Linked DNA regions of Rhinolophus ferrumequinum. The protein of the gene in region 1 interacts with the protein of each later gene in a biochemical or structural test. Links are inferred from orthologs where the notes say so. Each region holds a gene or a part of one and is shown on either strand. Other genes may lie near its edges. The genes, in order: LIMK2 and ROCK1.

Region 1 (3,912 bases):
CATGACCTAAATCTGATCTAAGGAAATGAGTTCCCAAAGATCCAGCATTAGAGAATCAGATGGGAGGGACCTCAGGGACCAGATGATGTGGTCAACCCTTCATCACATGGAGGACCCCAATTCCCTGCCAAGCCCATGGGGGGGAAATGGTTCTCAGGGCCCCTCAGCCAGCTAGCAGCTTCCAGAAACCAGTGTGCTGTCCTAACTCCTCATCCAGTGCTCCCTCTATAAAGAGGAGCCCACAGGGCAAATCCAGTCCACAAGTGTGTTTCCTTTGGCCTACATGGCATTGTTAGACTTTTTACATGTTCCCAACATTTTTAAAAGTGGGAAATTTCACCTAATATCTAATTTGGGGCTTGTTTTCAAAAACCGGAAGATCTGATGTGCTGAGTTCATTTATATACCTACTTGGCCTAGCTAAGGAACTGCCATGGAATGGTGGCTGCACCACCTCCATGCCATCTTTGACTTAGAGATTACCTACTGAGTGTCATCTTAATGGCGCAGAGAAGTTGCATCTCTGAACTGGAAGCTTCTAAGAAAAGTCCACCCTCAACCCCCACCCATCCCCCCCAAAGCTATTTTGTGGGGTAGACCTTGTTTTTCCATATTCATATTCTTGATTCCAAACATTCAACTTCAAAGAGCTTTAGACTGGGAGTCAGGAGACCTTTCCATCCCAGCTCAGCTCCTAATGAGCTTTGCTATTTTGAGAAAATCGAACTTGTCCTCTCTGGCCCTCAGCTGTCCCCATCTGTAAAATGGGTCCTCTGTGCTGAGGCCTCCGGCCTGCGCAGAATCATCCTTACCAGGTCTGGCACCCACGGATGCAGAGCTCGCACTAGGGGGCGCCAGGGCCACCGCAAAGCCCAAGCGAGGGGCGGGTCCGGGTCCCCGGGGCGGGCCGTCGGCAGGGTGGGGCGTCGGCGGGCGGGCCCTGGTGCCAGGTGCGGTTTGGTCCTACCCGGGTCCCGTAGGCGGCGCATCCCGCTGGTGCCCGGGGCTGAGGTTCTCCAGCGCCCGAGGCGACGGCGGGAGCTGAGAGAAACTGCTGCGGTCCCCGCCTTTTCTTCCCCATTTCCGCGCCCCCGGGACCATGGCTGCGCAAGCCGGTAAGGAGGGGCCGCGCTATCTTGTCCCGCCGTTACCTCGGAAGCCGGGGCCCTGAAGGGAGCCGGCGGCCTCGGGGGCGTTCGGGCTGAGTGAACCCCCATGGGTCCCGGGTCCTTGGGAGGAGAATTTGGGGAGTGAGCACCGCGGAGCCTCGGAGGTTGTGGGGCTCCGGAAATTGGGGAGCCGACGTTAGAGACTCCAAGGAGCATGCGGGGGGGGGGGGCAGCTTCCCGCGAGTTGAGGTCCCCGGGAGGAAGGGATGCTGGCTCTGCCGGGCGAGGGGGGGGCAGCTTTTTTTGTGGACCTGGCGGCGACCTGGCAGGTTCCCAAATTAAAACCCTTTCTAAGGAGCGCATTTGAGAGCTTGCTTCCCAGCATGTCATCAGCTCGTCTCAAACTCGCATAAAAATTCTCAAAAAAAAGAAAAAGAAAAACCTTTCCAAGGAAGTTGAGGGGTGTGGGTTCAGGTGAAGTTTGGGTGTTTTGGAGTATCGGGATTACGGGATCCTCAGCGTTCGAGATAATTGTGAGGGGATGGAGAGTTACCCCGGCTTCTGAATTTGCGGTGAAAAATGGAGGAGAGTATCACTTCCTGACAGGATCCAAGATGTCTCGCAGATATCTTGGTGCCTGCGGTCCCCTGGGTCTTGGGGCTCTTTGCAGGAAATAGGTGAATGTGGGCTCTTCTTGGGGAAGGTAGGCCCCTTGGGATTATGGGCCCTCCCATGGGAGCTGGGTCCTCCCTTGTCCTCTGTCAGACAGGAGAGGAATGTGACCAAACACCTCCTGGAAGAGTGTTCCAGGGGCGCAAGGGTAGCTTCGGGGTTAGCTTAGCTGGACCTGCGGTCCTCTCCCAGTCACCTCCCACACCACCCTGCAGCTTCCTGCCCTCCTCCGCTGTCTCCCAGCAACAAGGACTTTTTGTTGCCTGTGTTTCCCAGCCACCTGTGTGAGTGGCCCAGCCTCTAGGTGACCAGGGTCAGCGTCCAGAAGCTTTCTACAGGTGGCAGGAGGGAACAGTGGAGGAGGGAGGCTGTCCTGGATATGTGCCCCCACTTCCTGGCTTTCAGCCTTTAGACAGTCACTTCCTCCATCCTGAATACAAGGACCAGGCCACGAGTGGGTCACTTCCTCACCATGGGAGTGTGGGATTTTCTCCTTATTCTTGGAGGGCTAGGGGTAGAACTGTATCCTGTTCCTTCCTTTTATTTTTTTAGCTTCCAGAATTCTTCAGCTGAAATGATTTCTGATGACTTTCTAACCTCTGTGTAACGTAGGTTCCCTGTCTTGAATCTCGATCCTCAGAAACTTGTAAAAGATCTTAAGAGTGCAGGAGTGTGGATTAGGTTTTCTCTGAGTGAACCAAAGCCTGGCTAGAGGCATCAAGCCTCTAGGTGCATTAGTTGATGCATTCTTCCATATGAATATTTGTTGGATACTTCTGCGCCATGTATTTAGCCAAGCACTGAGGAATATAGTGATGAACAAAACAGACAGTGCCATTTGCCTTTGTGGTGCTTATAGTCCTAGAGATGGACGGTAGGTAATTGAGGTAACAAATGAGATAAATGCTGTAATAATTAAACAATTGAAGTAAGTGTTATAAGAGTGCCCTAGGGGTGAGGACAGTGAATAGGGAATACTTTCCTTTAAAAAGCATACTTTTTATGCTGACCCCTAAGGCTAAGTAGAAATTAGCCCAGCAAAGAAAGGGCAAAGAACATTCCAGGTTGAGGGGAGACCCTGAGGTAGGAAGCACGTAGTACCTTTGAAGAGCTGAGAGAAAGCCAGTATGGGGAGGAGGCTAAGGCTCAGAAATCACTTGTTCAAGTTTCCATAGCCAAATAAATGGCAGTGGTCAGAGTTCATATTTTCTAACTTCAAGTTCAGTGCTTCATCCTCTCTGTATCACAAACACCAGAATGAGGTTGCCTTTGGAATCAGAGAAGAAAGTGGGACTTAAACTTTTACTTGTTCTGACCAAACTGTTCCAAGACAACTCCGATTCCTGTGTAACAGGAGAATCAACAACAAAGAAATCAAATATTTACTGAGTGCCTGTGATCTCTAAGACATTGGGTTGAGACAGGTTTTACCTCTTTTAACAGATTCTAGAGCCAGGAGACACTTGAGGTAATGTAACTCTCCTCGTTTTACATAAGAAGAAACTGAGGCCCAGGGAGGAAAATGAATTTGTGCAGGATCCTTCAACTAGTGGTAGAGCCAGGATTAACCTAGGACTTCTCCAGCGCTCTTTCCTTTCTTTCCTAAGGTTTTTAAAAACTTTTTTGAATTAAAATTTATTGAGGTGACGGTGGTCAACAAAACTACATAGGTTTCAAGTGTACAATTCTATAATACGTCATCTATATATTGCATTATGTGTTCACCACCCAGAGTCAGTGCTTCCATCACCATAGACAGAGGGTGCCAAAAAAATGTATACATATTTTAAGAAAGTAAAGAACTGTTAAGATTGTAATACTCAATATACACCGATAACAAAAGATGAATACAGGTCACATTTGACTTCTGCAATTACAAGAGGTGCTCAAAGTAGTTACCATCAGCGTCCAGACACTTCTGATGACGGCGAACTGCTGCTTGACTTGTTGCTGTGCGAGGCCTCAGGATCTTCCCTTGTGCCCGTCACACACGGTACCATGCATCTCAGACTTATCACGAATGCGTGCAGTTGTTAGGCGTGTTGGAGCTTCTGCTGCATACTCACGCCTCCATTGTCATACTTCCACAACGTTCTCGAGTTTCAATTACCACTTCCAAATGGTCTTGCGC
Region 2 (3,912 bases), on another chromosome or scaffold:
ACATTAGTTCTAGTAAAATCACAATTCTAAGTTTCACTGAACGTTTTGAAATTGAGACGGGAGGATTATACATCAAGAAGAGAACTACAATGGGAGTGTTAATGGTGTAGAACTAGTATGAATAGCTTAAAAATAATGATTTTTTTCTATGAGATTTTCTTTTAAACTAAATTGAGCTTGGCTTCTATTGACTATATCTTCCGGAGTGATTATTTTAATGCTCCTCTGACACACACGATCGGTTTAGGAGGGCTGAGTACTGCATTGCTTTGTAATTTTCCCAGGAATCATAGACGTTGTGAGGTTCATGGAGGACCGACGACGAAGTACACCAAACCCCGTTGATGCTAAAATACTGGTGCTTGCAAGCAAAACAGCGTCCTGCCTAAAAAACAAAAACAAAAACAAAAAAAACCTGTCTCCAAAATAACAGCAAGCACCCTTTCTTTCTTGTCAGAATTCTCCAGACGGCTGCAGCCCAGAAGCAGCAGAGCTCGGGCAGCTGCTAGGACGCGAACAGAGGCAGCGAGAGCCCCCGCCCCCGCCCGGACCTCCACGGCAGCTCTGGAGCCCTGTGTGGTTCCTCCAAAGCCTGCCTGCCAAGGCAAGGGCTGTGCCGCCTGCCGCACCCTGTCGGCTCCTCCCCGCTGCCAGCCTTCCCAGTCGGTCTGCTAGGCCAAGGGCGCGCCCCGCCCTCCATCCCACTCCGCCCCGCTCCGCCCCGCCCTGCGGAGGCGCCGGCGTATGTGCGCGCGCGCGCGCGCGCGCGGGGCCAGTCCGGTTCCCCTTCCGAACGTCCGCGCCCCGCATGCGCAGTCCGTGCCGGCGGTCTCCGTTTGTTTGAACAGGAAGGCGGACATATTAGTCCCTCACGGCCCCCCTCGCCCCACCCCCCCAGGCATTCGCCGTCGCCACTCGCCCTTTCCGCAGCCGGGGCCGCAGCGCGTCCCAGAAGCTCCCCCATCAGCAGTCGCCGGGACCCGACTCGTCTTCCTCACTGCTCGCTCTCCAGCCTTTCCCTAAGTCTCCATCGGGCACCGACCTCGCCCTGCCCCGCCGGACACCGCGGCAGACGCCCCAGCAGCGACCGGACAAAATGGGAAAGTGAGACTATTCCGCGGGGACCAGGTCTTGGTCGGGACGAATCGGTGCGTCGGCCCGGGCCAAGCAGAGCCAGGGATGCGGGGATAGACCGCCTACAGCGCTTCAGAGCGGAGCGGGCCCGGCCCGTGGCCCTAGCGGCGGCTGCGGCAGCTGGCACAGCTCCGCACCCGCCCTTCGATTTCGCCTTTCCTCTTCTCCCTCCCCTGCTGCCCGGAGGAGTCTCCACCCTGCTTCTCTTTCTCTCCCCGCTCCTGCCCATCTCGGGATCGGGAATCCTCCATGGCGAAGGCGGCTGGGGCCCGCTAGGCTGAAGCACCTCTCCGGAGCGACGAGGCTGGTGGCAACGGCGCTGTCGGCTGTCGTGAGGGGCTGCCGGGTGGGATGCGACTTTGGGCGTACGAGCGGCTGTGGGTCGCAGTTGTCCCCGGCCCGGGGTTTGGAGAGCGGAGATCCCCTCAGTGAGGGGGAAGAGGGGGAACCGGGCGCACCTGGTGACCCTGAGGTTCCGGCTCCTCCGCCCCGTGGCCGCTAACCCACCGCGGGAGGAAGTTGGTTGAAATTGCTTTCCGCTGCTGGTGCTGGTACGAGGATATTGTCACTGTAGCGGCAACATGTCGACTGGGGACAGTTTTGAGACTCGGTTTGAAAAAATCGACAACCTGCTGCGGGATCCCAAATCGGAAGTGAATTCGGATTGTTTGCTAGTAAGTAGCGCAGTTCTCTTTTGCTTGTCTGTGCTTCTGTACGTATTTGCCTTCCTCTTGCTTTCAGTCTAGTCATCTGCAAAACAAAGTTTCAGGCGTGCATAATCTTGGACAACACCAAAATCTGTTGTTTTTCCCCGAAGAATCTTGGAGAACTACTGAAATCTCATGCCGTGGCCCTGTTTATAATTGGACTGACTGTACTAACCACTCTCGTTCATCATTACACAAAAGATACTTACAAACCTCTATTGCAGGCATCATATAAAAAGTTACCACGTCAGAGTTATTACTACATATATATAGTTTGTTGAATGGAGGTTTTAGTAATATTAATCTTTGTGATTGGTTTGACAGTATTATCGGAAAGACTACTTTTCATTTACAGCGATTTAGCTCCTAAGGGTTTAGTTTTTAGACTTGGAAGTGACAACAGAGAATCGATATTGAGGAAGTGATTTTTGAGCCAAAATGTCACAGGTGAACTGAGTTTGAAGGAACTTTTTGCTGGACTATAAAGTGTAAAATCCCAGGGAAACTGATAATAGGTCATCACAATATTAACGTCTTTTACAATACTGTTGGTTTACAAAAGTACTGCGCAGATATTTTATTTGCCTTTTTTGGTAGTGGTGTGCTTAACATTGTCACTTTTAAAACATTCTAAAGAAGATTTTGTGATATGAAAGGACAAAATTCTATTTTAAAAATTCATCAGTGATTTGCTAGCATAGACAGACTGGAGTTTTTAAGTTTTATCAGTTTCCTCCAATACCAATAGTTGCAAACTGTAAGCGAGTTTCTCCTTTTACTTTACAGATCAACTGAAAGTTATATAAGAATTCTATTTTAGTCCAGACAAAAACCACATAATCTCTAAAGTTGCAGGGAAAATGTGTATGGATAGTAATTTACAGCCTCCTCAGAATTAATGTTAGATGTACACAATATTTGGAATTAAGATTAAGTGAAGAAAGTACTGTTATGCCATTCAGAGAAATTAATGCCATTTAAAATCTCTTGAATCAGGAAAATCATGTAGTTTAAAATTAACATGCATTTTATTTTAGTCTGCATACCGCTATATATTTTAAATGTGTATGGTTTTACAAGAAAATTTTTCCCCCCAAAGCTTTCAAAATTACTGTAAACATCCTTGACTATGAAATGAGTCTGGTGAATCGTATGTTTGAAATGTGTACCCCACATTGTGGGTGCTCTTCAGATTGAAAAACAGAAAAGAGGGTTGATGCTTAATACAATTTAAAACATTTTATTGAATGAGAGAAGTGGAAGGAGTTAGAACACATCTTTCTAGTAAGGTTTTCTATAACTTCTAAGAAGTTTAATTCTTCTTTTAGTATTTATCTAATTCCCATATAGTATCTTTGATTTTACTTTGCCTTTTGATCTCCTTATTCCATGAAGCAGCATTACAGGAAGGGTATAGTCTTTTTTTTAAAAGCTGTCTCCTAGCCTCTTGCCATAGCTTCATGTGGTGGGAACCTCACAGATTTATTGAAGTGTGAAGGATCCAAGGAAATGTAAGTCATGGACTCTTTCCTTGAAAGTCTAATCTATTTAGGAAGACAAGTCCTAATCTCACATGTACATACACAGAAACGAGGCAAAACACTTTACAGATTGAGAAAATATGTGATAAATTTCAAATAGTTGTTATGGATAAATATGTTTTTGGATATTGAAAAGCAATCACTGAGTTGAGCCAGGGTATGCTTTATGATGGATAGGATTTAGAGAGAGATTATTTAGAGGGAGAGTGGAGGATAGCATGAATACGTAGAGGGTGGAGACATGACTGGCTATGACATGTTTAGGGGAACAGAAGGTAAAGCTGGAAGGATAAATTGGGGTTAGAGTGTGGAGGATTTAATAGTTAGGCTAATGAATTTAGATTTTCTTCAGTGTGTTGTGTCTATAAAATATTTGTAAACAAGACTGTGCCAGGATGAATGAGAAGATGAATCTGGTGGCTATGTGAAGGTTGGGTTATGTGGAAAGAGAGGAGAGATGAGGTGAGATTGGGGAGTTTTAAAAAAATTAATAGTCCAGAAATGATTGAAGCCCAAAATTGGGGTATAGA

What was found.
Region 2: of the proteins of LIMK2 (region 1) and ROCK1, one has a biochemical effect on the other in vitro, tested with the Homo sapiens proteins (2 studies listed by BioGRID). The link is inferred for Rhinolophus ferrumequinum from reciprocal best matches to the Homo sapiens genes LIMK2 and ROCK1.

The regions. Positions count from the first base shown.
Region 1 is NC_046308.1:20,216,065-20,219,976, forward strand, and holds the start of LIMK2 (LIM domain kinase 2), read left to right. Parts: upstream 1-946; 5' UTR 947-1,099; coding exon 1,100-1,115; intron 1,116-3,912. UniProt on the Homo sapiens protein: Serine/threonine-protein kinase that plays an essential role in the regulation of actin filament dynamics. Acts downstream of several Rho family GTPase signal transduction pathways.
Region 2 is NC_046302.1:17,042,409-17,046,320, reverse strand, and holds the start of ROCK1 (rho-associated protein kinase 1), read left to right. Parts: upstream 1-962; 5' UTR 963-1,715; coding exon 1,716-1,808; intron 1,809-3,912. UniProt on the Homo sapiens protein: Protein kinase which is a key regulator of the actin cytoskeleton and cell polarity.